Linked DNA regions of Anolis sagrei. The protein of the gene in region 1 interacts with the protein of each later gene in a pairwise test. Links are inferred from orthologs where the notes say so. Each region holds a gene or a part of one and is shown in the gene's direction. Other genes may lie near its edges.

What was found.
Region 2: the proteins of TRIM39 (region 1) and UBE2D3 interact in binary tests that used the Homo sapiens proteins (3 or more experiments, as listed by UniProt). The link is inferred for Anolis sagrei from reciprocal best matches to the Homo sapiens genes TRIM39 and UBE2D3.
Region 3: the proteins of TRIM39 (region 1) and LNX1 interact in binary tests that used the Homo sapiens proteins (3 or more experiments, as listed by UniProt). The two-hybrid records come from large-scale screens. The link is inferred for Anolis sagrei from reciprocal best matches to the Homo sapiens genes TRIM39 and LNX1.
Region 4: the proteins of TRIM39 (region 1) and UBE2D2 interact in binary tests that used the Homo sapiens proteins (3 or more experiments, as listed by UniProt). The link is inferred for Anolis sagrei from reciprocal best matches to the Homo sapiens genes TRIM39 and UBE2D2.

The regions. Positions count from the first base shown.
Region 1 is NC_090022.1:23,343,420-23,350,454, reverse strand, and holds the start of TRIM39 (E3 ubiquitin-protein ligase TRIM39), read left to right. Parts: upstream 1-4,025; 5' UTR 4,026-4,157; intron 4,158-6,910; exon of another isoform or gene 6,911-6,930; 5' UTR 6,931-7,035.
Region 2 is NC_090025.1:27,743,883-27,751,881, reverse strand, and holds the start of UBE2D3 (ubiquitin-conjugating enzyme E2 D3), read left to right. Parts: upstream 1-4,976; 5' UTR 4,977-5,576; coding exon 5,577-5,600; intron 5,601-7,999. UniProt on the Homo sapiens protein: Accepts ubiquitin from the E1 complex and catalyzes its covalent attachment to other proteins. In vitro catalyzes 'Lys-11'-, as well as 'Lys-48'-linked polyubiquitination.
Region 3 is NC_090025.1:74,813,059-74,820,137, forward strand, and holds the start of LNX1 (E3 ubiquitin-protein ligase LNX), read left to right. Parts: upstream 1-4,078; 5' UTR 4,079-4,087; coding exon 4,088-4,497; intron 4,498-7,079.
Region 4 is NC_090024.1:137,845,886-137,852,805, reverse strand, and holds the start of UBE2D2 (ubiquitin-conjugating enzyme E2 D2), read left to right. Parts: upstream 1-3,909; 5' UTR 3,910-4,107; coding exon 4,108-4,131; intron 4,132-6,920.

The DNA.
Region 1 (7,035 bases):
CCAGTCAGCACCCTGTTTTCTTCAGTGCTTCTCCATTATAATGCCGTTTGGCACCACTTTAACTGCCAATTATTAAATTATATGGAATCCTGGGAGTTATAGTTTCACAAGCCTTCTCTGTTAAAGAATGCTGGTGCCTCACCAAACAACTCTGAGGATTGAGCCCAGCATTGAGTCCTAGCACTTTAAGTGGTAACAGGTGGCCGTCAGGTTACTAAGAGGAGCAGCGCTCAGGAAGCACACTACTCCTCTGTTGCGTCAGCTCCACTGGCTGCCAATCTGCAACCAGGCACAATTCAAAGTGCTGACTTTAGCCTATAAAGCCTGAAACGGTTGTGGCCCAGCTGACCTGTCCGAATGTATCTCCTCCTATGAACTATTTATTTATTTATTTATGCGCTTGTATATCGCTAATATCTCAGCCTAAGTCGGCGACTCATTGCAGTTTACAACAACTAAAAAGTTAAAAACAATTAAAAAACAGTATTCAATTTAAAACATGAAACACATAAACAATACAAATTATTGGGCCACCAATAATAATCCCATGCATCTCGTAACTAAAATCACAATCCAAAATTCATCGTCCATGATTACCAGTCCTTTAGTCATCAAAATTCGTTGCAACGGATTAACTATCTAGGAGCTTAGGATCATCGGGGAAGGCCATGCTCTCTATCCTGCCTGCATTGCAGGCGCGATTGGCAGGGACGAGAAACAAGGCCTTTTCAGTGGTGGCCCCCCAGCTATGGAACTCCCTCCCCAGGGATATCAGATCGTCCCCCTCCCTCCTGACTTTCCGTAAAAAGGTAAAAACTTGGCTCTTTGAGCAAGCTTTTGAGTTTGCAATAAAATAGATAACATGAAACTATGAATGATGAACATGAGATGGCCAGACGATGTGATTGGAAGATGTTTTAACAGGATGACACCTATGACTATATGTTTTAATGGTTTATATATATTTTTGCATTGTTATGTTGCTTGTTTTGAACTGCACTTTATGAATGCATGGCATCAAACTGTGCCAAGCTGTAACCTGCCTTGAGTCGCCATATGGTTGAGAAACTGTCCATGGAGAGCCTTCTCTTCTGCTCTGGGTTGTGTTTTTACGGTACTCCCTCTTTGTCTTTTGCACTTTAAGCAGTTTACTACTATTGACTTCCCTCAGTGTTGGTTCTTGACTGCCATTTATTTATTTATTTATTTATTTATTATTTCACACATTTATACCCCATCCTTCTCACCCCCAGAGGGGGACTCAGAGGAGTTATGTCAGGATGCCCAATGTCGGCCTTCAAGGATAGGCTGCATGTGTCATTCTGACATGATGGGATGAAAGGAGAAGAGAGGGAGAGTTGATAAGGCAATATGGCCTGGCTGCTTTTTTGAGAACCAGACTGGGGGTCCTTCCATACAGTCCTATATCACTGAATATCAGGGCAGCAGTTTGATAGTCACACATTATGCTTTGGATAGCATAGGGAAGGGTGACCACCCCTGTGGAGTTTGTTTCCCTGTCTGTACCCCTGTTAATAATAATAATAAATAATAAAACTTTATTTGTACCCTGCTACCATCTCCCCAAGGGACTCGGTGCGGCTTACATGAGGCCAAGCCCACAGGACATCAATAAGCAAAGGCAATAACAAATAATCAATACAAAAGTTAAAATAAAATAAAACTCAAAAACAAAAAATACACAATAAGCGATAAGCAATATTAATAACAATAACATACAGCATTTAAAAACCAATGGCCGGGCCAAATGTAATAATTAAAATTTAAAATGCTGGGCATGAACAAGGTAAGGTAAGCTAGGATAGGGTTTTCAAAGAAAGATGAGGGCGCGCAGACAATCCTAAATCAATATTAAAGTGCATTTGAGGACATATTGCTAAGAGTTTTCCTATTCTGGGAAGGCACACTGGCACACTTCCCCTATTCTGGGAAGGCATTTCAGGCTCCTCCTAACGACTGCCAGCATTGGGGCATGTCTGATGTCCTTAGGGAGTGAACTCCAGAGTTGAGAGGCCACCACCGAGAAGGCACTTTCCCTCGTCCCCACCAGTCGCGCCTGCGAAGGCGGTGGGAGCGTGAGCAGGGCTTCTCCAGATGATCAAAGAGATCGTGTGGGTTTGTACACAGAAATGCAGTCACACAGGTAGGCGGGTCCCAAACCGTTCAGGGCTTTGTAGGTAAGAACCTGCACCTTGAATTGGGACTGGAAAATGAAGAGCAGCCAGTGGAGCTCCTTAAACAGGAGGGTTGACTGCTCTCTGTAAGCACTGGTTAGCAACCTGGCTGCCACCCATTGTACCAATTAAAATTTCCGGGCCGTTTTCAAGGGCAGCCCCACGTAGAGAGCATTACAGTAGTCCAATCTGGAGATGACTAAGGCATGGACCACCCTGGCCAGATCCGACTTCACGAGGTATGGTCGCAGCTGGTGCACAAATCTTAATTGTGCGAAGGCCCTCACGGCCACCGCCAACGCCTGAGCTTCAAGCGTAAGTGATGAGTCCAGAAGGACACCCAGACTGCGGACCTGTGACTTCAGGAGGAGTGTAACCCCGTCCAGCACAGGTTGCCACCCTATACCCCGATCCGGTTTACGATCTACCAGGAGGACCTCTGTCTTGTCAGGGTTGATCCTCAGCTTGTTCCTCCTCATCCAGACAGCCACAGCGGCCAGGCACTCGTCCAGCACCCGAGGGGCTTCCTTGGAGTTAGGTGAAAAAGAGTAGTTACGAACATAAAAACTCCAACCATCACCCAAGTCAAAAAAGAAGCACCATTAAAACCTTCGCACACTGTGCAAAAAGAATCTGCAAACCCCACCTTCTCCAAGATGAACTGAACCACCTCAACTGGGCTCTACAGGCCAATGGAGACTCCACCTCAGACATCAGAAGAGCTAAAAGACCGAGAACAGCCACGAGAACAAAGATGAAGATCCACCCAGAGGAAAAGTGTTCTTGCCATACATCAAGGGAACCACTGACCGCATAGGGAAGCTGATGAGGAAACACAACATACAAACAATCTACAGACCCACCAAGAAAATCCAACAAATGCTTCGTTCAGCAAAGGACAAGAGGGATCCTCTCACCTCTGCAGGAGTCTAGCGTGTACCATCCAAACGCAGGGACCACCAAACGCAGCATTGCCCAAACACGAATCAAGGAACACGAAAGGCACTGCAGACTACTTCAACCAGAGAAGTCAGCCATAGCAGAGCACCCGATGAACCATCCTGGACACAACATATTATTTGAGAACACAGAAATGCTGGACCACACCAACAACCACCATGTCAGACTACACAGAGATGCCACTGAAATACACAAGCATGTGGACAATTTCAACAGAAAGGAGGAAACCATGAAAATGAACAAAATCTGGCTACCAGGATTTAAAAACTCTTAAAAAAAATTAGAGCAGCACAACAACAGAGAGGAAACAAACAAGGACATCTAAGCACCTCTCAACAAAAGATTGCTCCAGGCACTGCCAGGCTAATCAAGGTGGCCAGTTGAAACATTCACACCTAGCTCCAGGAGACAAGAGTCCTTTGTCCCACCCTGGTCATTCCACAGATATATAAACCCCTTTTCCTAGTTCCAACAGACCTCACTACCTCTGAGGATGCTTGCCATTGATGCAGGCGAAACGTCAGGAGAACATGGCCATATAGCCCGAAAAAACCTACAACAACCCGTAGTTAAGAACGTTTCCTCGCACTTTCCGTCCCTCTCTAACAGGCCTGGGCCAACTTGGGCCCTCCAGGTCTTTTGGACTTCAACTCCCACAATTCCTGGGAGCTGGTAAAGCTGGCTGAGGCTTCTGGGAGTTGGAGTCCGAGTCGCTCACAGGCCCAAAGTTTGAAAACTCAGTCGGATGCCTTGCTGATTGCCGGCCCCTCTTTCTCCGTCGCCTAGCAACGCGGCGTTCCATCACCCGTCCAGCCAATCCCGTCGGAGCGCCCTTCTGGGCTCTTCTCTCTTTCTCTATGGTCGAGGGCTACTTCCGGTGACGTCGGTTCCTGTTTGGAGGGGAGGGCATTTCAGCCAGTAGGACATTGCGAGTGAGGGGCTTCGCAGGGCCCCTGCTGGGCGCCCCAAAACACCACTCCCCCGGCTCCCAGTCTACTCCAGGTATAGCTGTGTGTGTGTATATGTATGTATATGGGAAGCCCCCTTCCTTGAAGCCATAGCTCCAGGTCTAGCCCAGGCATGGGCCAACTTGGGCCCTCCAGGTGTTTTGGACTTCAACTCCCACCATTCCTAACCGCCAGTAGGCGGTTAGGAATGGTGGGAGTTGAAGTCCAAAACACCTGGAGGGCCCAAGTTGGCCCATGCCTGGTATATAAGGTTGGGCCAAAAGTCACAAAGGGGTTTCAGTTATAAAGTTCCTGTATATGTCTGTCCACTCAGGTTAGCTGTTTCTTCCTCTTTCTTAGGCCCCATGTAATGCAGTCCAAAGCTAGCTAGCAGCCGGGGCAACAAACTCACTAAAAAGTCCTTAATGTGCACCTGATGACATGTGTGATCACCACCCAAGCCTTTTCCAGGACTTTCTTTGTAATCATCTGCACAGCAAAACCACCTTTTTCAATACTGGTTTGAAATGGCATTAAATGGTGAGTGTAGATAGGATCTTAGGCCCCTTATACACAGCTGTATACAGTCCAAATTTAAACTGGATTATATTTATTTACAACATTTAGATGTCACCCTTCTCATTCCAAAGGGGACTCAGAGTGACTTACAAGTTACAAGTACATACAATATATTATGTTATTAGCATAGCACAATAGTAATATTATATATTACTATATTGTACTATACCACTATACTATAATATTAGAAATACTACATGTAATATGAAATAACTAATAAATAACAATAACAAAATAATCATTTTATATGGCAGTGTGAACAGAGGCCCCTTCCACACAGCTGTATAAGATCCACATTATTATATTATTAGCATATTATATTGTATTATTAGCATAGTACAATAGTAATATTATATATTACTATATTGTACTATACCACTATACTATAATATTAGAAATACTACATGTAATATGAAATAACTAATAATAATAAACAACAATAACGAAAACATCATTTTATATGGCAGTGTGAACAGAGGCCCCTTCCACACAGCTGTATAAAATCCACATTGAACTGGATTTTATTTATTTTTATTTATTTATTTACGACATTTATATGCCGGCCTTCTCACTGGATTATATTTATTTATTTATATTTATTTATGACATTTATATACTGCCCTTCTCACCCCAAAGGGGACTCGGAGTGACTTACAAGTTACAAGTACATACAATATATTATATTATTAGCATAGCACAATAGTAATATTGTATATTACATCACTTTATATGGCAGTGTGAACAGAGGCCCCCTTCCACACAGCTGTATAAAATTCACATTGAACTGGATTTTATTTATTTATTTATATTTATTTACGACATTTATATTCCGCCCTTCTCACCCCAAAGGGGTGACTTACAAGTTACAAGTACATACGATATATTATATTATTAGCATAGCACAATAATAATATTATATATTACTATATTGTACTATACCACTATACTGTAATGTTAGTAATATTACATGTAGTATGAAATAATTATTATTGTTATTTATTATTATAACAACAACAACAACAACAACAACAAAATAATCATTTTATATGGCAGTGTGAACAGAGCACCCTTCTACACAGACCTATATCCTAGAATATCAAGGCAGAAAATCCCACATTATCTGAGTGTGGACACAAATAACCCAGTTCAAAGCACATATTGTGGGATTTTCTGTCTTGATATTCTGGGATATAGGGTTGTGCGGAAGGGCCCTCAAATAATTCTGTTCAAAACAGATATTGTGGCATTTTCTGCCTTGATATTCTGGGTTATATGGCTGTGTGGCAGGGCCCTGAGATGCTTTGGAAATTAAGGGGAAAATGCAGTATAATGCAGGAGTCAGGGTGGCATAGTGTTTTGAGTCTTGGACAGTCAGGGTTTGAATCACTGCTTGACCAGTGAAAACCCACTGAGGGACCTGGGGCAAGACACATAGAACCTTCCATATAGCCATATAACCCAGGGCCTATCCACACTGCTGTATAACCCAGAATATCAAGGTAGATAATCCACAATATCTGCTTTGAACTATCATACAATCCAATTCAATGTGGATTTTATACAGCTGTGTGGAAGGGGCCACACTCTCAGCCTTAGAAACCCATTAGGGCCACATAAGTCAGAAGTGATGTAAGGCACATAATAATAATAATAATAATAATAATAATAAGGCACATAATAATAATAATAATAATAATAATAACAACAACAACAGCAACAATATCTGTCATTAACAAGAACTGAAGCCAGGAACAGATGTGTGTCACCATCGAGTTTAAATGGTCAAGTTAAGCCATTCTTCCATTGCACTCCAGCCTTTGTGAGTCGATCCTGTTTAGAGGCAACTATGTGATAATTCAGCCCACATGTATTGGGTTTGAGGTAGCATTGCTACAGCAGCTCGCCTGCTGCTTCATATCTTTAAAACATCACGCATCCCGGTTTCTGTGTGTTGATATACAAGAGTATACATGTTCAACTGTTCCAGGCCTACACAACCTGTGACCCTTCAAGTGTTTTGAACATTGGCTGCCAGAATTCCTGACCATTGAACAAGCTGGATAGTACTACTGGGAGCTGAAGTCCCAAACACTTTGAGGGCCACAGGTTGAATAGGCCTGAGTTACTCAATCTGGGAAAGAGATGGGATGGAAAGTTCTGCAGAAGTATTCTTGCTCTTTCCTCTTGTTCCACTCTGACCCACCCTGCTATCAATCATTGTAATTTCAGCCACAATCTTGATTATATAGTGCCAAGATACAGAAGAAAGCGCCCATCTTGAAACAAATTGCAGAGTTGGAGGAGATCTAGTACAACTGCTCAACCTGTCCTGTGTCATTGGATCATTAACCTGC
Region 2 (7,999 bases), on another chromosome or scaffold:
CAAGGATCATATTGTTATTGGAGCTGAAAGCACACAGAGGTTTCACTTAGGCCGCTTCCACACTGCCATATAAAATCCAGAATATCTGCTTTGAACTAGGTTATATGCTAGTGTAAACTTTGGGCCCTTTCACACAGCCCTATATCCTAGAACATCAAGGCAGAAAATCCCATATTATCTGAGTGTGGACTCAGATAACCCAGTTCAAAGCAGATATTGTGGGATTTTCTGCCTTGATATTCTGAGATATAGGCCTGTGTGGAAGGGCCCCCATATGAAGGTAATGTTTCCCCTGACATTAAATCTAGTCATGTCTGACTCTGAGGGGTGGTGCTAAGTGAAAGAGCTGGCATAGTCTGTAGGCACCTCCTAGGTCATGTGGCCAACATGACTACATGGAGCGCCGTTACCTTCCTGCAGAAACTGTGCCTATTAATCTACTCACATTTGCATGTTTTTGAACTGCTAGGTTGGCCGAAGCTGGAGCTAAAAGCAAGAGCTCATCCCACTCCCCAGATTCGAACCTATGACCTTACGGTCAGCAAGTTCAGCAGCTCAGCAGTTTAACCCATTGTGCCACCAGGGGGCCTGAATCTCATGTGATCCAGTTCAAAGCAGATGTGGATTATCAACTCTCATAATCTGGATTATATGGCAGTGTAGAAAGGGTGTTAGTTCAAAGACCTGAACCCAGAAAATGAGGACAGGTTAGAGAGCATAAACTCCCTGGTTGCAACAGCTTAACTACCAATTGATTTCAGGACACCATTTTAATTGCTGGTTTTGACCTATAAAGCCCTGTATGATTTGCATCCAGGCTAGCAAAAGGATAGTATCTTCCTATATGAATCTGTACTATGCTACTTTGCTACCACTGGGAACAGACCTTCGCAGGCTGAATCCACATTGTAGAACGAATGCAGTTTGACAATACTCCAACCAGATAGTAGCCTAACAGGCCTGGGCCAACCTGGGCAATCCAGGTGTTTTGGACTTCAACTCCCACAGTTTAAATCCAAAACACCTGGATTGCCCAGCCCTGATTTATAATGTTACTATAATGTTCAATCAGCAGTATCAGCAGCTCAACTGTTTAACCCATTACGCCACTCAGGGCTCCGTTGAAGTGTAGGAAAGGGTTAAGGGAGATGCAGTGAGTGGGATCATGCAAATTCCACACCAATGGAAAGAGTAAGAAACACTGGGATGTCTGTGATGGAGAAAACACATAAAATCTAGGATGAAATTGTCCCTGAATGAAAGGATTCTGTTCGAGTTCAGCCTGTGATTGTGTTTCAAAATCATGGTGCTTTGGATGCGGGGAATGATGTCAATGAGATTCAAGATGGAAATGGTTTGGTCAATGGTATTGATGCAGAGGATGACATAGTCACACCGGTTCAAAGTGTAGTTTCCCATGAGAATGTTCCTACAGGGTATAGGGATGATGCTTTACTCCCTGAATTGCTCCCAGAAAGTTCTTAGGATCTGAAAACAACTTGGCACCTGCAGAAACTAATGAGCATATAGACAGGCGGGTGGAAATTAGCCAAAACAAGACAGCTCGGCCAAAGCCTTCGGCATTCTGCCAGGCTTTGACAGATAAGGATGAGAGGCATTCAGGGAAAACAAAACCAATTTCTGAGTGCTTGGAATGGCTTAACGAGGGGACATAAAGTTCCAAGCGTGGGAAATACAGTCAGATGAAGCATCGTTTTAGAATCCTGCTAAGTTCTGGTTCTTGCCTCATGGAAGTTTTTTCTGGAAGATTTATGTTTAAGGATTTCTTGTTCAACGGTTTGACTCTTGGTTCTGGTGGTTGTATACTGATGCCTTGGATCAACGTTTCCTAGTTCTCTGGATTTTGTTAGAGAAGAGTGGGCTTTGTTTTTGGACTTTGCTGAACTTTACCTTGGACTAATTTGTTCCTGCTTATCTTCTTTCCTAATTGGATTTACCTATTCCTTTAAAGTGTTTTTTTCCTTTACTTTGCTGCTTTTACTTATCTTCAATAAAATGATTGTTTTTTTCCCTACTCAATGTGTGGTGTTTAAAATAAGAGGGCTATTCCTGTCCTGAAGTGCAAGTTTCCTTGGGTGGCGGGATTGGGGACATGGGCAGGGTATGGGAGACATGTTCATGGCTCTGGCCCCTCGACTCTCGAACTCTCTCCCTAAGGACATCAGGCAGGCCCCGTCGCTAGCAATTTTTAGGAGGAGCTTGAAAATGTGGTTGTTCCAGTGTGCCTTCCCAGAATAAGGAAACTCCTAGCATTATGTCCCAACGCACTTTATCAGAGATCCAGGATATCTGCATGCCCATCCCCCTCCAAACACCTCACCTGGTCATGCCCAGCACTTTTTAAATTTAATTATTACATTTGGCCCTGACATTGTTTTTAATTGCGTCATTGCGTGTTGTTAATGTTATTGCCTTGTTTATGAGTTTATTTATTGTTGTATTATTGTTGTTTTTACTGATGTATTTCGGCTCAGCCTCTTGTAAGCCGCACCGAGTCCTTCGGGAGATGGTAGCGGGGTACAAATAAAGGTTTATTATTTATATTATTATTATTATTATTATAACCTGAAATGTCATTGGAGGGGGGGGGGGGGCTTTAGGTGGCCCCTCAGGACTGTGGGTTAAAGCTATTTGTGGAAGTGGGCGCCTGTCTGTGGAAGTGAACACTCCAGCCACATACAAATTTTCACTTTTACACATATATACATTATACTTTTATTATATGTAATGTGTATGTGTAATGTGTATATGTATGGTATGTATATATAGATCAGGGGTCCTCAAACTAAGGCCCAGGGGCCGGATGCGGCCCTCCAAGGTCATTTACCCGGCCCTCGCTCAGGGTCAATCTAAGTATGAAACTACTTGAAAGCACACAATAACAACAATCCTATCTCATCAGCCAAAAGCAGGCCCAGACTTTCTATTGAAATACTAATAAGTTTATATTTGTTAAAATTATTCTTAATTTTAATTATTGTATTGTTTTTAAAATGTTTTTGCACTATAAATAAGATATGTGCAGTGTGCATAGGAATTCATTCGTATTTTTTTCGAATTATAATCTGGCCTGCCAACAGTTTGAGGGACTGTGACCTGGCCCTCTGTTTAAAAAGTTTGTGGAACCCCTGACATAGATAGATGTATAGATAGATAGAAGAAAGATAGAAATAGGCCTATAACATCACTCCAATGAAGTTCCATCTTTGGAAAGAGCTTGCTGTGTTGCGTAAGGGCCTTCCAAGTTGTTAATGTCCAAAGCACAACTACATTACAAGGCCATGTATACTGACTCTTGGAATATATCTCATTCAATGCAATCAAACCGTTTTAGGCTTCCTGACTGTGAGAGCCGTTCAGCAGTGGAACTCTCTGCCGCGGAGTGTGGTGGGGTCTCCTTCTTTGGAAGCTTTTAAATTGAGGCTGGATGGCCATCTGTCAGGGGTGCTTTGAATGCAATATTCCTGCTTCTTGGCAGGGGGTTGGACTGGATGGCCCATGAGGTCTCTTCCAAGTTGTTGTTAATGTCCAAGCACAACTACATTACAAGCCCATGTATACTGACTCTTGGAATATATATCTTTCAACGCAATCAAACCGTTTTAGGCTTCCTGACTGTGAGAGCCGTTCAGCAGTGGAACTCTCTGCCGCGGAGTGTGGTGGAGGCTCTTTTAAGCAGAGGCTGGATGGCCATCTGTGGGGGGTGCTTTGAATGCAATATTCCTGCTTCTTGGCAGGGGGTTGGACTGGATGGCCCATAAGGTCTCTTCCAACTCTTTGATTCTATGATTGTCTGCCCCGGAGTGTGGTGGAGGCTCCTTCTTTGGAAGCTTTTAAGCAGAGGCTGGATGGCCATCTGTCAGGGGTGATTTGAATGCAATATTCCTGCTTCTTGGCTGGGAGTTGGACTGGATAGCCCATGGGGTCTCTTCCAACTCTTTGATTCTATGATTGTCTGCCCTGGAGTGTGGTGGAGGCTCCTTCTTTGGAAGATTTTAAGCAGAGGCTGGATGGCCATCTGTCAGGGGTGCTTTGAATGCAATATTCCTGCTTCTTGGCTGGGAGTTGGACTGGATAGCCCATGGGGTCTCTTCCAACTCTTTGATTCTATGATTGTCTGCCCTGGAGTGTGGTGGAGGCTCCTTCTTTGGAAGCTTTTAAGCAGAGGCTGGATGGCCATCTGTCAGGGGTGATTTGAATGCAATATTCCTGCTTCTTGGCTGGGAGTTGGACTGGATAGCCCATGGGGTCTCTTCCAACTCTTTGATTCTATGATTGTCTGCCCCGGAGTGTGGTGGAGGCTCCTTCTTTGGAAGATTTTAAGCAGAGGCTGGATGGCCATCTGTCAGGGGTGCTTTGAATGCAATATTCCTGCTTCTTGGCAGGGGGTTGGACTGGATGGCCCATGAGGTCTCTTCCAACTCTAGGATTCTATGATTCCTTTAAAAAGCGGGGAGGGATTCAAGAGCCTCTTCCTTCTTCTTCTTTTTCTTCTCCTCTCATGACAAAATCGTCCCTTCTCCTCAGCGGCCATTTGCTGAATGCGCGAGACCGAGAAATGTCTTTCGACGCATGCGCAAAAAGAGGACGAGAGCGCGCTTATTCAGCGGCGCGCGCTCACAACACATTTCTCCCCCCCCCCCTTTTTTTCTTCTTCTTATCGCGAGAGCTTCTTTTGGGGAAGACATGTAATTTTTCTCTACGCATGCGCTACGAGGGACAAGAACGGGCTTATTCAGCGGCGCGCGCTCACAACACATTTCTCCCCCCTTCCCCTTCTTCTTCTTATCGCGAGAGCTTCTTTTGGGGAAGACATCTAATTTTCTCTACGCATGCGCACGGAGGACAAGAACGGGCTTATTCAGCGGCGAGCGGTCGCACACTCTTCTCGCGAGAGGTTCTTTTGCCTCCTTTCCCTTCCCCCTCCCCCTTCCTCCTCCACTTTAATATATCTTGTAAGGGCAGAATAGAAACAAACAGCACGAAGTGCGCATGCGCGGGTGTAACAACACAAGCTTTTCCTCTCTGTGTCTCGAGCCAGAGCAAGCGCGCGGCCAGTCAGTCAGTCAAGTCATCCAGGCTACGGTGGCGGTTAAGCGTTTGCAGGCCTCCTCCAATCGGAAACCACGCCAAAGAGGGAGGGAGGGCAGCGGCGGAGGAGGCGGGGCCTTTATTTAGCCCCGCCCCTTTCTTCGGCCTCGCCATCAGTGGCGGCGGCGGTGGCGGCGGCGCCTTAAGCTTTCACCCAGTCTTCCTTTCCTCGCAAACTCCGGCGGGCGTTTAGGCCTCAAGGGCTCGGGACCGAACTAGGCCGCGGGGAAGGCTTTCTCAGAGGTGGGACGAGCCAGAGGCGGAGGCGGTGACGTCGGCGCGGCTGGTTTCCGGAGGAAGGAGCGCGAGAAGAGAGCGAGAGAGGCAGGCAGGCTCCATCCTCCGCAGGGAGGGAGTGCGGCGGCGGCAAGGCCCGGCGGAGAAGGCGGCGGAGAAGAAGGCGGAGGAGGAGCAGCAGCAGCGACACCGACGGAGCAGCGCCTCCCGCCCCTCGCCCACCAACCATGGCCCTCAAGCGCATCAACAAGGTGAGGAAGTAGGCCTCGCTCTTTCGGCACTTCCGCCTTCGCCGGGTTATATATATATATAAGGGGGGGGGGGGAGGTTGGATTAGGTGTTGACATAAAGGCAAGAGATACTACTCTTTCGCCGCCTTGGCCCTTGCTTGGACGACGTTACTGCGTGGATTATCTCGACGACGAAGCTTCACTGGACTGGGCCTTGTTATGGCAGCAAGATTTGGGTCAATCTGTGGAATTGTGTTAGAGTGTGTGTGGGGGATAGAGGTTTAAACCAAACCCACAATGTTTTTGTCTGGATTCCCAAGCCTCCCTTGGATCGGGCCTTGTGATGGCGACGTTTCCCCAAATTTTCAGCTAGGCCCTTCCACACAGCCCTATGTTCCAGAATATCAAGACAGAATAACCCACAATATCTGCTTTGAACTGGGTTGTCTGAGTCCACAACTGGGATTTTCTGCCTTGATATTCTAGGATATAGGGCTGTGTGGAAGGGACCTAAGTGGGATCCACCTCAACAGTCTCTGGGATTAATTTTTACAGGAGAATCTGGGATATAGGGCTGTGTGGAAGGGACCTAAGTAGGATCCACCTCCACAGTCTCTGGGATTAATTTTTACAGGAGAATCTGGGATATAGGGCTGTGTGGAAGGGCCCTAAGTGGGATCCACCTCCATAGTCTCTGGGATTAATTTTTACAGGAGAATCTGGGATATAGGGCTGTGTGGAAGGGACCTAAGTGAGATCCACCTCCACAGTCTCTGGGATTAATTTTACAGGAGAATCTGGGATATAGGACTGTGTGGAAGGGCCCTAAATGGGATCCACCTCCATAGTCTCTGGGATTAATTTTACAGGAGAATCTGGGATATAGGGCCATCCAGTCCAACCCCCTGCCAAGAAGCAGGAATATTTTCAGGGCCCTTCCATACATAACCCAGAATAGCAAGGCAGAAAATCTCACAATGTATCCCAGTTCAAAGCAGATAATGTGGGATTATATTCAGCTGTGTGGCAGGGACCAGAGAGACACAGGGATTCCTTTTCCTATTCCAAAGGAGATTGCTAAAAATTGTAAAATTATCAGGCAGCTTTTGCCATCTATAACAGGCATGGGAAAACTTGGTCCTTCCACGTGTTTTGGACTTCAATTCCCACCATTCCTAAGAGCCTCAGGCCCCCTCCTTTCCCGCTTAAGCAGAGGCTGTTAGGAATGGTGAGAGTTGAAGTCCAAAACACCTGGATGGACCAAGTTTTCCCATGCCTGTTATATATGGCAAAAGTCGCCTGATAATTTGGAATAGGAAAAGGAACCCCTGTGTTGCTCTGGTCCCTGCCACACAGCTGAATATAATCTCACATTATCTGCTTTGAACTGGGATATATGGCAGTGTGGACTCATGTAGCTCTGGCTCTTTCACACAGCCCTATATCCTAAAATTATCAGAACAGAAAATCCCACATTAACTGCTTTGAACTTGGGTACCTTCCACACGGCTGAATTAAAATCCCATATTTTCTTCTTTGAACTGGAATATATGGCAGTGTGGACTCAGATAACCCAGTTCAATGCCAATATTGTGGGATTTTCTGCCTTGATATTCTGGGTTATAGGGCTGTATGGAAGGGCCCTGAGATATATGACACTGTGATCACAGGGCCCTTCCACGCAGCCCTATATCCCAGAAAATCAAGGCAAAAAATCCCACAATATCTTCTTTGAACTGGGATATATGGCAGTGTGGACTCGGGGCCTTTCCACACTGCCATATAATCCAGTTCAAAACAGATAATGTGGGATTTTATTCAGCTGTGTGGAAGGGGCCTCAGAGCTCTTCCACACAGCCCTATATCCCAGAATATCAAGGCAGGAAATCCCACAATATCTGCTTTGCACTGGGTTATCTGAGTCCAAACTCAGATAATGTGGGATTTTCGGCCTTGATATCCTGGGATATAGGTCTGTGTGGAAGGGCCCTCAGATAACCCAAGTCAAAGCAGATATTATGGGTTATTCTGCCTTGATATTCTGGATTACATGGCAGTGTGGAAGGGTCCTCTATGTTTGTGTGTGTGTATGTGCCTGTTTACGTGTTGAATCCGCCTTTCCCCTTCACTGCTTTCTGTGAACTTCTTTCCCGCATTGCAAGATGGCGGCGGGTTTGCCTAGCTAGTTCAGCTGCTTCCCCTCTCTCTCCTCTCTAGGTTTCAGTGTGTACAGCACTGACACGCAGAGATCTCCCTACGCAGCTCCCGGTCTCCCCCGATCTTCTTTTGTTATAGACCCAGAATGGATGCCTTTTTTCCCCCCCTGCCTCTGCTCTTGACAAGGAGCGGAAGTCTGTGGCGGCTGTGTGTGATGCATGGAGAATTTCGTTCTTGCACAATCTAGAAGGAGGGTGGAGTAA
Region 3 (7,079 bases), on another chromosome or scaffold:
CAATTGGCAACAATTCGATGCCGCATAATAAAATACAAAACACCAATAATTACAACAGTTAAAAGCATAAAAACATTAAAACAATATACTTATAGTTTACCGAACTATTAACAGTCTGGTGGCCATTATCTAGCCGTATGCTGTGATTGAGTATTCCATTAAACTTATCCATAATCCATTTCCAAGCCATTGTCAAAATTGTCATTTGTCATTTCCGCCTAATTACCCGAAGGCCTGATCCCACATCCACTTTTTTACCTTCTTTCTAAAGTTGAGGAGGGATGCCGATGACCTAATTTCCCTGGGGAGTGAATTCCACAGGCGGAATTACCTTTGGGACAGTGCAATAAGGCAACAATAGGAAATTTTACCCTACTGACCGGATCCGGTATGGCTGATCTGAGATGGTTTAAAACAATTGATTTTAAAGTGAAGATAATTGATTTGAGTGTTTATGTATATTTATAGTTTATTTTAAGTTCCACCACTGAATATTTGCCATATATATGTTGTGCTCTGACCTGAGTCCTCTTTGGGGTGAGAGGGACGAAATTTAAATGTTTTAAATAAATAAATAATTTCAAGAAGGCTCATTCCACTTTGACTGCCATGGTTCCATCACATGGGACCTCATCGCATGAGTCTTTTGCTCCATCCTACAATGCTTCTAGGATGGAGCCCAATGGAACCCATCACATGACGCAGGGCTATATCCAGTGGGTTTCATCCTAGCAGTATCATTGGATGAAGCCCTGAGAACATGGGTGGCTACTTATGTTCTCTTTACCTAAGCTGGGGACAACACAGGGAAGCCGGGCAGCAATGGTTTTCCCCATGTGATAGGGAAGCAAGCAATGCAGGGCAATTAATGTCAATTTCCCTCACTGCCCAACAAATTTGCCCCATTGACCGACAGATTCCCCTGCTGTCCCCCTGCTTAAGTACTTCCATGTAATGGGATCCTAGGACTGGAAATGTATGAAGGGTCATCTAGAATTCTCAGCCAGAATTCCCCAGTGCCTCATTAAAATACAAAACCTAGGATTGCAAGGGATGGCACCATGGCAGTTGAAGTGGTATACAAGTGCTATAATTGTATAGTGTGAATGGGTTCTAGGCCTTAAAAATCATTCTTATTTCATGTCAACATTGGAACTTATCACATGAGGCTGGCCAACCACAATTGTAGCAGGATAATAATGTCTATTGTCAATAGTTGCTGCCTCTTTTGACCTTGTCACACGGCCGTTGAACATGCCCCACATCTCTGTGTTTCACGGGGGGGGGGGGGGGAGGGATGGAGAAGGGGTGGAGAAGTGGCCACCCCATACCCTTCATTGCCCGGCAGTTGATCCCATGGGAGAAGCGTGGTGTGTGCAGCTTCTCTCCATTAAAGTCTCCCATGTTGCCACGGCAGTGAAATGCACCAGCTCTGCCCTTCTTCACCCATAGAGCCAGCACAGTGTTGTCTGATGCGAGCCGGTGGGCTCCATGGGTACCTGGACTAAATTGGTGCATACCACTGAATTTAGCCCCCTGTGAAGAGGTCATTTGCTTCCCTCATTACTCCTTTTAATAGGACTCCTTTTCATAGATAGTAACAGTTAATGGCTATTCATTCCATTGCCATACCATTCTTTATTTCAGTATGATAGGTTCCTTCTGCTTCTGTTCCAATTTGATGGCAGCCATATGGCATCAGTGAGTATGATTCTTCATCTCTACCCCGTCTCGTTGCTATTACAAAACAGACCTTTCCTTTGGAAAAAACCTTTATTTTCTCTTCTTTTAATTTTTTCTTCAAATTGCCATAATTGCAAAATTGGATAAAAACAAAAAAACCAACCTTTTGTAGAATTCATTTCAAATCAGTCTTGTACGATAAAACATGAAACCAGTTTGGTGCAACACCTAAATGGAGACCATGCTTTCGTTCCAATTTAGCTATAAAGCTTGCTGCATAACTTCTTTTCATTCTAATTTACCTTGCAGGATTGTTGTGAGTATTAAATGAGTGCTAACAATAACAATAATATACTAATCTTACGTATTTTGGCAGTATGATCTTTTGAAGCTAAAGAAAGAGAGTTTTCACAGCATAGTATATTGACAGTTCTACAATACCAGTTCTACTGGTAGCCAACCAGAGTATAGAATCATAGAATCATAGAGTTGGAGGAGACCTCATAGGCCATTCAGTCCAACCCGCTGCCAAAAAGCAGGAAAATTGCATTCAAAGCACCCCCGACTGATGACCATCCAGTCTCTGTTTAAAAGCTTCCAAAGAAGGAGCCTCCACTACATTCTGGGGCAGAGAGTTCCACTGCTGAACGGCTCTCACAGTCAGGAAGTTCTTCCTCATGTTCAGATGGAATCTCCTTTCTTGTAGTTTGAAGCCATTGTTCCATGTCCTAATCTCCAGGGCAGCAGAAAACAAGTTTGCTCCCTCCTTCCTATGACTTCCTCTCACATATTTATGCATGGCTATGTGTCCACTCAGCCTTCTCCTCTTCAGGCTAAACATGCCCAGCTCTTTAAATCGTTCCTCATAGGGCTTGTTCTCCAGACCCTTGATCATTTTAATCTGTTCTTTCATATAGTTCAGCTTCTCTCGTTAACCTTTGAATTGGACAAATGGGTCAGAAGTGAAAGTAGGTCTTTATCCTACTTTATCCATGAGTAGGTCTTTATTTTCAATTTTGTTGATAAATTTGTAATTTTGGGGATGTGGGTTATTTATGGGCGGGTAGCAGTTGAGGATAAGGGCCCCCCGGTGGCGCAGTGGGTTAAAGCACTGAGCTGCTGAGCTTGTTGACCAAAAGGTCGCAAGTTCGATTCCAGGGAGCAACGTGAGCTTCCACTGTCAGCCCTAGCTTCTGCCAACCTAGCAGTTCGAAAACATGCAAATGTGAGTAGATCAATAGGTACCGCTTCGGCGGGAAGGTAACGGTGCTTCATGCAGTCATGCCAGCCACATGACCTTGGAGGTGTCTATGGACAACGCCGGCTCTTCGGCTTAGAAATGGAGATGAGCACCACACCCCAGAATCAGACATGGCTGGACTTAATGTCAGGGGAAAACCTTTACCTTTACCCTTAGCAGTTGAGGAGAGAAAGTCAATGTCATGTGGTGTTTTGAGTGTTGAACTATGAGCCTGGAGATCATATTGAAATCCCTGCTCAGATATGAAAACCTACTAGGTTATTTATTTATCGTGTCAGAAACAAGCCAAACAGTTGTATTGCATTTTTTAACAAAAAAACACAAACAAACAAAACACAAAGTTTGTAAGCTTGGTAGTTGATTATATGCCCTTTGACCAGTAGCTGGCCACTTGGAGTGCCTCTGGTGTTGCTGCAAGAAGGTCTTCCATGGTGCATGTAGCAGGACTCAGGTTACATCGCAGCAGATGGTCTGTAGTTTGCTCTTCTCCACACTCGCATGTTGTGAATTCCACTTTGTAGCCCTACTAGGTGACCTTGTGCAAATCACACTCTCCCAGCCTCAGAGGAAAACAAAGGTAATCCCCTCTCCCAAACAGACCTTGATGGAAAAACCCAATGATATTGTTTTAAGGGTCACTATATGTTGGAAATAACTTGAAAACATGCATCGACTAGCCTCTGAGCATCTTCATTTCTCTACATAATCGGTAGCACACTATATAATCTGCTGAGAGACAAGTTCTTGGTGCCTTCAAAAAGAAACAACATTTGTATGTGGTTGCACCTGGATTTGGAAAACAATTGACCAGAGAGAATTTGGTTAGCATTAGGAGAGATAGGTTAAATTGTTCATTCTTTTTATCTTCTGTTGCTGATCCATTTAATTGATATTGTAATTTGTGTCTGTATATCTTGAGTTCTTGTTCAATTTCCAAAGTGTCATGGACTATTGACTCGCATACGAAAGTTTAATTGAGCATTGTATGTCATAATCAATCTTCATAATGCAGTTGCTTCGAAACAATTTCATTTGATTTGTCATCATGCTTCCCTACAGATCTGAAGAACTACTGAGACAACAGATAATATTTTGGACTGAAACTGAAATTTGAATTGAAATCTTTTCCTTGACCTTTGTGTCATGCAACACTCTCCAGTTATGAATCAAAAGGATCCATTAGGAGAAGCAGAAGAAAGCGCTGTTTCCTTATGTGTGGTCTGTGGCCAGCCACATCAACCAGAAGAGAACCACATGTATACCTACACTGAAGATGTGGACGATGATCTCATTTGCCACATTTGTTTGCAACCTTTGCTTGAACCACTGGACACACCTTGCGGGCATACCTTCTGCACAGTTTGCCTTACAGATTTCTTAGTGGAACAAGACTTCTGCCCTATGGACCGTAAAACTCTGATACTACAGACTTGCAGAAAATCCAGCTTACTAGTGAATAAACTCTTGGATAAACTCTTGGTTAGCTGTCCTTTCACAGATTTCTGCTCAGAGATTGTGCAACGCTCAAACCTTGAACAACATTTCCAAAATGGGTAAGTCGTTTTATATATCACTTCCACAAAAGTTGAGAATTTGTTCAGTGCTGGTAAAAGATCCTCTACTTTTTCAGCGAATGATGCTTTCAAGTATTTTCATTTTTCTGCTGTAGTGTAAATAAGTTGTCTGTTGTATTTCATGCATTCTCAGTAGATGGTGGACCTAGCGTCTCTGTTTCTCACTCACAGTCCTTGGTCATTGGAGATGGTGTTGCAGGCTTCTGACAATTGAAGTCCAAAACATCTGGAACAGCAAAGGCATTATAGCCGTGATCTAGATCAACTTACCACTAGACCCCTTCCAAACAGCTGAATAAAATCCCACCTATGGAAACCGCCCTGAGTCCCCCTGTGGAGATAGAGCGATATATAAATAAAGTTATTATTGTTATTATTATTATTATTATTATTATTAATATCTGCTTTGAACTGGAATATACAGCAGTGTGGACTCAGATAACCCAGCGCGAAGCAGATATTGTGGGATTTTCTGCCCTGATATTCTGAGTTATATGGCTGTGTGGAAGGGTGCATTGGGTTCCCTCATAACTGGAAATACTGACTAGTGTTGGTGGCAATTTGAGCCCAAGAAGAGCTGGAAAGTTATACATTTTCCCCTACTACTCAAAATTATGCTATGGAACACCCTTACAAACAGCTGAATAAAAAACAGCTGTGAAATTGTGTTTGCTTACTTCCACATTGAGCATCCCATATCCTAAACACTCGGAACCAGAAGTGTGCTGAATTTCTGCCCCCCACCCCCCCCCCTCAGATTTTGCAATGCTTGCATATACATAATGAAATATATTGGAGGTGAGACACAACTCATAGAGTTTGGAAATGTTTTCATATACTATATTTTAATAATGTTGTGCATGTGACAAAGTTAGTGTACATTGCAGCACCAGGAGGTGAGACTTCCACTATTTCAGCCACCCACATGGATAATTTTGGATTTTGAAATGTTTTGAATTTGGGAATTCTATAAGGGATACCCAACCTGTATCTAGTTGATTGAACAGATCTCAGGCTAAGTTTATGAAGCACTTTGAAGGGATTTCTAATGGCTCAAGTGCTAATTTTGCTGTGCTAATTTGTTGCCTAGGGCTTAATACGCTCATACTTAAGAAACATTGCTTAAGTTCATGTAACATAGTGGAACTGGTTTGACAGCTACAACAATTTTCTGCCTCTTACCCAATTTCAATAAGCCCCAAATCCTTTTAATGTTTAGAGTTTAGAGAGCAGACCCCAGACAACCTACAGACTGGTCTCCATGCTCTTCACCTTTTCTTTTCTTACCCAAGGTTTTTCATCCAACCACTTTGCGAGCCACTTGTAAATTTTAACAGTTCTTTCTTTGCAATGTGGCAGTCAAGAGGTTGTTTGAATAACTCTGTTTTCACCCTAGGATATGGGACTTGTTAGGTGACACTTTCCTATAACCCAGTTGTGCTGATCACAGCTAATATTCTGTTCTTTCCTGCTATAACATGCCATTTTAGGAGTTGGGAAGAGAGTTCTTTCTTGTATATTATTCTACTGTTTTTATTTTAACTTCTAATCTACTTTGGAGTGTTTGGACATCAGGAAATAAATAAAATAAAGCAATCATATTCAGTAGCAACCACTTAAAGTAGACTTTCTGTTTGACTTTTGGATTTGGTACTATAGCCTAAAATTGCTTTAGACAATTTTAATTTCAGAGATGGGCATGCTGTTTCAACACTTTTCTCCATGCGGTCTTGCCATTTGAAAAATCCAATCATTGGGAACATCAGAAAAGTTTTGATAATTTAGGCAGAACTATATGTTCCAACACTGATCTGGCTCAGACCAACTTTAACAGCCTAGTAAATTATCAACATCCATTTATTGGCATCTGCATTGATCACACAGCAAACATTCTGCATGGCTGGCTTTTTTTGACAAGTATTCATGGAACTAATGTACAAAAATAATGCAAAAATTATGAAAAATGTGTTTCTCAAGTGCTGAGAAAATCTGATAGTAGAATTTTGAAAAATTCACAGAACAGGATCTATTTTTAAGCCTTCTAAGCAAGAAGAAAATTGCTAAAATTTCTCAAAAAGACTATTAGCAAAAAAATTCCTTCAAGAAGACTATTGGTTAAGTATTACATTCATAGTGTCGGGTAGCTGAGACCAGATCCAGACAGGCCTTTATCCCAGGAGAATCCACTTTAAAAACACGGACCTGTCCACACCCATCCCAGAGAACATCTGGAGGGAGGCCCTACCCCCCTCCCCTGAAGCCTCCAGACCCCTTAGAAAAGTAATAAAAACTTACCCAGACTCCATTACAAGCTCCGGTGGACTCTCCCGTCGCGTAGAAATGATGTGCCAGGAGAGCTGGAGGGGAGCAATTTTCCTCCCTTCCTCGTCCTGCTCGACGAGCCTGCCGAGGCTTGTAATGGAGGCCAGGTAAGTTTTATTACTTTTCTAAGGGATCTGGGGGCTTCAGGGGAGGGGATGGGTATTCCCACAGTTATTGGCCTTATTTAGCCCGGTAAACTGTGGGAATACGGTCTGAGCTGCAGTATTCTGCAGTCCAGA
Region 4 (6,920 bases), on another chromosome or scaffold:
AAAAATATGCTTGGGTAGTTGGTGAGGTAGGCCAATCTGCTTCTCTAGTCCTACCTACACTGCCATATAATGCGTTGTCAGAATGCAGTTTAACTACATTGAACTGCATTATACGGCGATGCAGACTCATATAATCCAGTTCAATGCAGTTAAACTGCATTCTGGAATTGCCTTATATGACAGTGTGGGTGGGGCTTCTGTTTTGCTCCTCATACACACTCAGTGATTCTGGAGGAGTAAGTGCACATAACTGCGGGAGGATCACCTAGAGTGGAACACATTCTTTCCTAGGTCAAGCTTCAATATTTTTTACCCAACACTGACAAGGTTTTGTTTTCCAATCCTCCTTTATCGAAGTCTATACTACATCTCCTGCCCCTCAAATTAGAAGGAAGACTGCATAAAAGAGTTATTTTTCAGGGACTTGTTAACTTCGCGTGCCTGTGATGTAAAATTAAAAGTAGAGCTGAATTTATTTTAAAGAGAATAAGCATTTCAATGGCATTCAAACATAAACCGAACCAATATAATTATTACACAATTTGAAGATTTCTTAATATTTAACACAAAACCAGACCACCAATAGCATATGTAATTTATGCTATTTTTGTACCTCATTTGGCTGTTTTTTGTGCTTGTGTGTCATCTGAGCTAGTTTCATTATATCTATTAAAGTGAGCTGCAATCTATAAAAGTCTGCACCAGAATAAATTTGTTAGCATTTAAGGTGCCATGGAAGAATATATGTTGACCAGGTAACTAGAAAGCCTGCCTGTTTGACCTGTCTGGGATGACAGCAGGGACAGTATTATCTCCTGCATGGATTGCTATAGAAGCAACAAAACATCTACAATCCTGGCACCATATAGAATCCACCAAAATATTAAAACATAAATAAATATACATTGCAACCCCTCTGTGTTATCTACCTACTGACTGAGATATCAAATACACTGACCACTTAAGTATGTTTTAAACCAGTTCAGCAGAAACTGGTTTTTCTGTATGGATGGTAAGATTGCTATTTCTGGAACAGATTTCAGACCAGGATGGTGATTACATTAACCACAAAAGTGATCTGGAACTGGTTCCAAAATCCACAGTATCCATGGCTTGCACATTTACATTGTGGACGCAAGAGGTGGAAAAAAGAAGGGAAAGTGAGAACTAGCAGTAGAGATAATCAATTATCTATCCCAAGGGGTCAACTGACCACCTGTTCCCCAGTCATGCCCTCGGCATTTTCTCATCAGTCAGCCCCATTCTGAGTTTTACAATACACATCAGTGCATCGGATGTCCACAATGAACTTTGTATGCTATGGAGCTGATTTTGCCATGTTGTGTGATTTACTTTGGGACTGTCATGCATTCAGGGGCTTGTTTTGGACTTTCCCCAACTTATGTTAAAAACCCTTAAAGTGTGTGGTAGTGTTCTTCAGTGGTGTGTGTTATTTAGCCACTAAGAGAAGTCCAAAACAAGCTGCTGAATGCACAGCAGCAGTCAGTGTAAATAAGCACAATTATTACCCATTTTTACAGATTGTAAGTCATCCTGATACCTTAGGAATATAGAGTACATTTGGAATGGCATGTTTTGGAGGGAAAAAATCAAGTTGGATATATTAAAAGTTTCAGGTATCCAAATAGAAACTGACATGTGGATATACCACATCATTATACTTTTTTTAAAAAAAGTTTAAATTTGATTTTTACAAAAGAAAAAAGTGATGCACAGTGTAACCCAATAGCATCCACGAGTCCATTTCATTTGTTTTACATAGAAAGGAACATAGCTCTAAATACGACTAGAGTTACTGGGTCATCAAAAAACAAAAATGCAAGTCTCAAAATGGTTTTACCAAACAAAGGTATTGATTTCAGCTAATGTAGCTATGGATTTCTCTATATTTTTTCACATTAACATATACTGGCAAATAAAATGATACACATGTCCACTTCTAAGGAAGACTCAAATCCTCAAAAAAAAAAAAAAAAAAAAAAAGGGTTTTTGAGCCGAGCTGTTGAGCCTCTACATAAAAAGAAAAGCTTTCTAGTGCACAAATAAAGGACAGACTTTGGCCCCTTCCCCACAGTTGTATGGAAGGAAAGGAAGGAAATGGAAGAGGGGCTGACCAAGGGCAAGATGGATGGATAGTATCCTTGAAGTGACTGGCTTGAACTTGAAGGAACTGGAGTGGTGACGGCTGACAGGGAGCTCTGGCGTGGGCTGGTCCATAAGGTCATGAAGAGTCAGATGCAACTGAACAACACACAGTTGTATAAAATCCACATTGAAATGGATAATATGGTAGTGTGGACTCAGATCACACAGTTCAAAGCAGATACTGTGACTGTGGATTGTCTGCTTTGATATTCTGGATTATATGGCATTGTGGAAGGGCCCTTTATAATAATAAGGGGTTCATGGCAAACCTCGTCCTGACTATAGACCCACTGAGGCTCCTTCCACACATCTAAATAAAATCCCATATTATCTGCTTTGAATATATGGCAGGGTTATCTGAGGGCCCTTCCAGAAAGGCCCTATATCCCAGGAGCTGATCCCAGGTTTTCTGTTTATCCCAGTTTATCTGGCAGTGGGGACTTCTACAATCCAGGTTACAGCAGGAAAATATGGAATCAGATATGGGTTATAGGGCCTGTCCGGAAGGGCCCTCAGATAACCCAGTTCAAAGCAGATATTGTGGCTTACCTATCTTGAAATTATGTGGGCCCTTCCACACAGTCCAATATCCCAGAGTATCAAGGCAAAAATCCCACAATATCTGCTTTGGATTGGGATATATGGCAATATGGACTCAGGGCTCATCCACACAGCCCAATATCCTAGAGTATCAAGGCAAAAATCCCACAATATCTGCTTTGGACTGGGATATATGGCAATATGGACTCAGGGCTCATCCACACAGCCCTATATCCCAGAATATCAAGGCAAAACATCCCACAATATCTGCTTTGAACTGGGTTATCTGAGGGCCCTTCCACACAGCCCTATAGCCCAGATTAGCAAGGCAGAAAATCCTACAACATCTGCTTTGAACTGGGATATATGGCGGTATGGATTCAGGGTCCTTCCACACAGCCCTATAACCCAGAATATCAAGGCAAAAATTACACAATATCTGCTTTGAACTGGGATATATGGCAGTGTGGACTCGGGGCCCTTCACACAGCCCTATATCCCAAAATACCAACGCAAAAAATCCCACAATATCTGCTTTGAACTGGGATATATGGCAGTATGGACTCATGGCTCTTTCACACAGCCCTATATCCCAGAATATCAAGGCAAAAAATCCCACAATATCTCAGATAGTGTGGGATTTCCACCTTGATATTCTGGGATAAAGGGCTGTGTAGAAGGGCCCTGGTTTCCATTAAACCCCTTTGTTCCCAAGTGAAAAGTTTTTCCTGTCCTGTTCCTCCCTCTTCGAGTCTGACAGTTGTTGGGCCTTCATCCGCCATGTCTCTTCTCGCGAGAAGAGAGCGAACCCTCGCCTTGCGCGGCCCTCACCGATGAAGGGGACGCCTTCGTGCTCTGTCCTTTTCCGAGGGGTTCCCTGCCGCGGGCCACACTTGCTCGTTCAGCGCCTTCCTAAGCGTCCGCGTAAGGTCACGCAGCGCTTCCCCACTCAGTCCGCGAGCCTGCCGCGACGGCCGCGAGGCGCATGCGCCAACGCCGATGGCGGAGGAATCTCATTAACCTCGCGCCGCCGTCGCGTCATAAAAGAACTTCGCTGAAGGGTGATGCGGCTGGAGGAGCCGCAGCGCCGAGAACGTCAGTGAAGGGAGAGCCGGGGGAAATAGTAAGGAGGGAGAGAAGCAGGAGGAGGAGGAGGGGGCGGCGGAAGGGGACGACGGAGCGGCGTGCAGGGGCGGGGCGGGGGCGCCGACGAGGGACTTGAAAGGGGAGCGCCCAGGAGGCCCGCGCGCGCCCCCTCCCTCCCTTCCAGCCTGCCTCTTCCGCCGAGCAGCCCCCGCGCTCCCTCCGCCGCCGGAAAAGTAGTCCCGCTCCTTCCTCTTCGCCTCCTTCCTGCCTCCTCGCGCGCCGCCCTCCACAGGCTCCGCCGCCGCCGCCGCCGCGATGGCGCTGAAGAGAATCCACAAGGTAAGGAAGGCAGGCTGGGAAAGAGGGAGGGAGGCGCCGCTCCAGGGGATGCCCGGCCCTTCCCTCCCTCCCTCCCTCTCGTGGGGGTCTTAGCTGTGGAGGAGGAGGAGGGAGGAGGCCTCCTTGGTGGCCTTTCGCGCCGTGTCAGCTGGGCCTCCCCGCCCCGAAGCGAGGCCCCGCGCTTGGGCCCCAAACCCTCGGCAGGCGGCGCCTCTCCGGCCTAGGCCGCAAGGCGCCTCCTGCGGGGGCCCTTCCCGAGGCCTATTGTTCCAAGGCGGCCCTCGCCTTTCCCAGAAGGAGGCCCGTGCTTTTGGTTTCTCTTTCCTGCCCCTCTCCCCGCCCGGGAGGCCAGGGATGAAGGGCACGCCTTGAGCCTGGCGCTGGGCATCGCTTCAAGCAAAGGGAGGGCGCCTTGCCCGGAAGAGAGGCAGGTGTGCGGCCCCGTCTCCCGCCATCCAGGCCCCGTCTACATGGCACTGTGGACTCATATGTAGATAATGTGGATTCTGTGCTTTGTTCATCTGGATTATGTGTCAGTCTAGAAGGGGGCAGTTGTATAAAATTCAAATTGAACTAGATGGCAGTGTGGACTCAGGACCCTTCCACACAGCCATATAATCCAGAATATCAAGGCAGGAAATTCCACAATATCTACTTTGAACAATATGGCAGTGTGGACTCATATATAGATGATGTGAATTCTGTGCTTTGTTCATCTGGATTATGTGGCTAAGGCCTCTTCCACACAGTTGTATAAAATCCACATTGAACTGGATTATATTGCAGTGTGGACTCAGGACCATTCCACACAGCCATATAATCCAGAATATCAAGGCAGGAAATTCCACAATATCTGCTTTGAACTAGGATATATGGCACTGTGGACTCCTATATAGATGATGTGGATTCTGTGTTTTGTTCATCTGGATTATATGGCAGTGTAGAGGCCTTTTCCACACAGTTGTATAAAATCCACATTGAACTAGATGAGTGGTTCTCAACCTGTGGGTCCCCAGATGTTTTGGACTTCAACTCCCAGAAATCCTAACAGCTAGTAAACTGGCTGGGATTTCTGGGAGTTGGAAGCCAAAACACCTGGGGACCCACAGGTTGAGAACCACTGAACTAGATTATATGGCAGTGTGGACTCAAATAATCCAGTTCAAAGCAGATGTTTTGGGATTTTCTGCCTTGATATTCTGGGTTATATGACTCTGGAAGAGCCCTAGATTATGTGGCGGTGTAGAGAGGGCCTAAGGCCCTTTCCACACAGCTGTATAAAATCTACATTGAACTGGATTATATGGCAGTGTGGACTCAGGGCCCTTCCACACAGTCATATAACTCAGAATATCAAGGCAGATAATCCACAATATCTGCTTTGAACTGGTGGCCCTTCCACACACCCATATTAACCAGAACATCAAGGCAGAAAATCCCACAATATCTGCTTTGAATTGGAATATATGGCAGCGTGGACTCAGATAACCCAGTTCAAAGCAGATATTGTTGGTTTTTCTGTCTTGATACTCTGGTTTATATGGCAGTGTGGAAGGGCCCTGGGTTATCTGAGGGCCCTTCCAGACAGTTCCTATATCCCAGAATCTGATCCCAGGTTTTCTGTTTACCTCAGATTATCTGGCAATGCGGACTCAGGGCCCTTTCACACAGCCCTATATCCCAGAATATCAAGGCAGAAAATCCCATGTTTTCTGCTTTGAAGTGGGATATGTGGCAGTGTGGACTCAGATGACTCAGTTCAAAGCAGATATTGTGGGATTTTCTGCCTTGAGATTCTGGGATATAGGGCTGTGTGGAAGGGCCCTCAAAGAATTCAATTGAAAGCAGAAAATCTGGGATCAGATCTTGGGAAGCCCACAATATCTGCTTTGAACTATCTGCGAGGGCCCTGGGTCCATACTTCCAGATAATCCAGTTCAATGTGGATTTTATACAGCTGTGTGGAAGGGGCTTCAGATAACCCAGTTCAAAGCAGATTTTGTGGGTTATCTGCCTTGATAGTATATGTCAGTGGTTCTCAAACTGGGGTCCCCAGATGTTTTTGGACTTCAACTCCCAGAAATCCTAACAGCTGGTAAACAGGCTGGGATTTCTGGGAGTTGTAGGCCAAAAACATCTGGGGACCCCAGGTTGAGAACCACTGGTCTAGGTTATATGGCTGTGTGGAAGGGCCCACAATCTTTTCCTCTAGAATTTAGTGGAGGTAATCCTTCCATGAATTTAGGACCCTTCCACACAGCCATATAATCCAGAATATCAAGGCAGTAAAGCCCACAATATCTGCTTTGAACTGGGTTATCTTAGTCCACACTGCCATATATCCCTGGGCCCTTCCACGCAGCCCTCTATCCCAGAATATCAAGGCAGGACATCCCACATTATTATATAGGGCCTGAGTGTGGACTCAGATAAGCCAGTTAAAAGCAGAAAATGTGGGATTTTATTTAGCGGTGTGTGTGTGTGTGTGTGTGTGGGGGGGGGTCTTACATAAAACAAAAGGAACACACCTGCAGCCCAGGAGGGAAAGGTGTCAGGCATGCCTCTGCCTCCTTTGTGTGCCCGCCTGGTGCTTCCTCTGCCACCTCTGCCCTCAGTCATCTCCCCTGCTACTTCCTGCCTCGGGTGTGTCTCCGGCACATCTTTAATGACACCTTTGGATTTATGCTTTAAGCATCTTGCAGTTCTCTCAAGGGAACAACATCCAGGCTACTGCAGTTGGAAAGCAAGCCTTACATATCTTTCTTCTTGGCAAACAGACCCAATGTGGA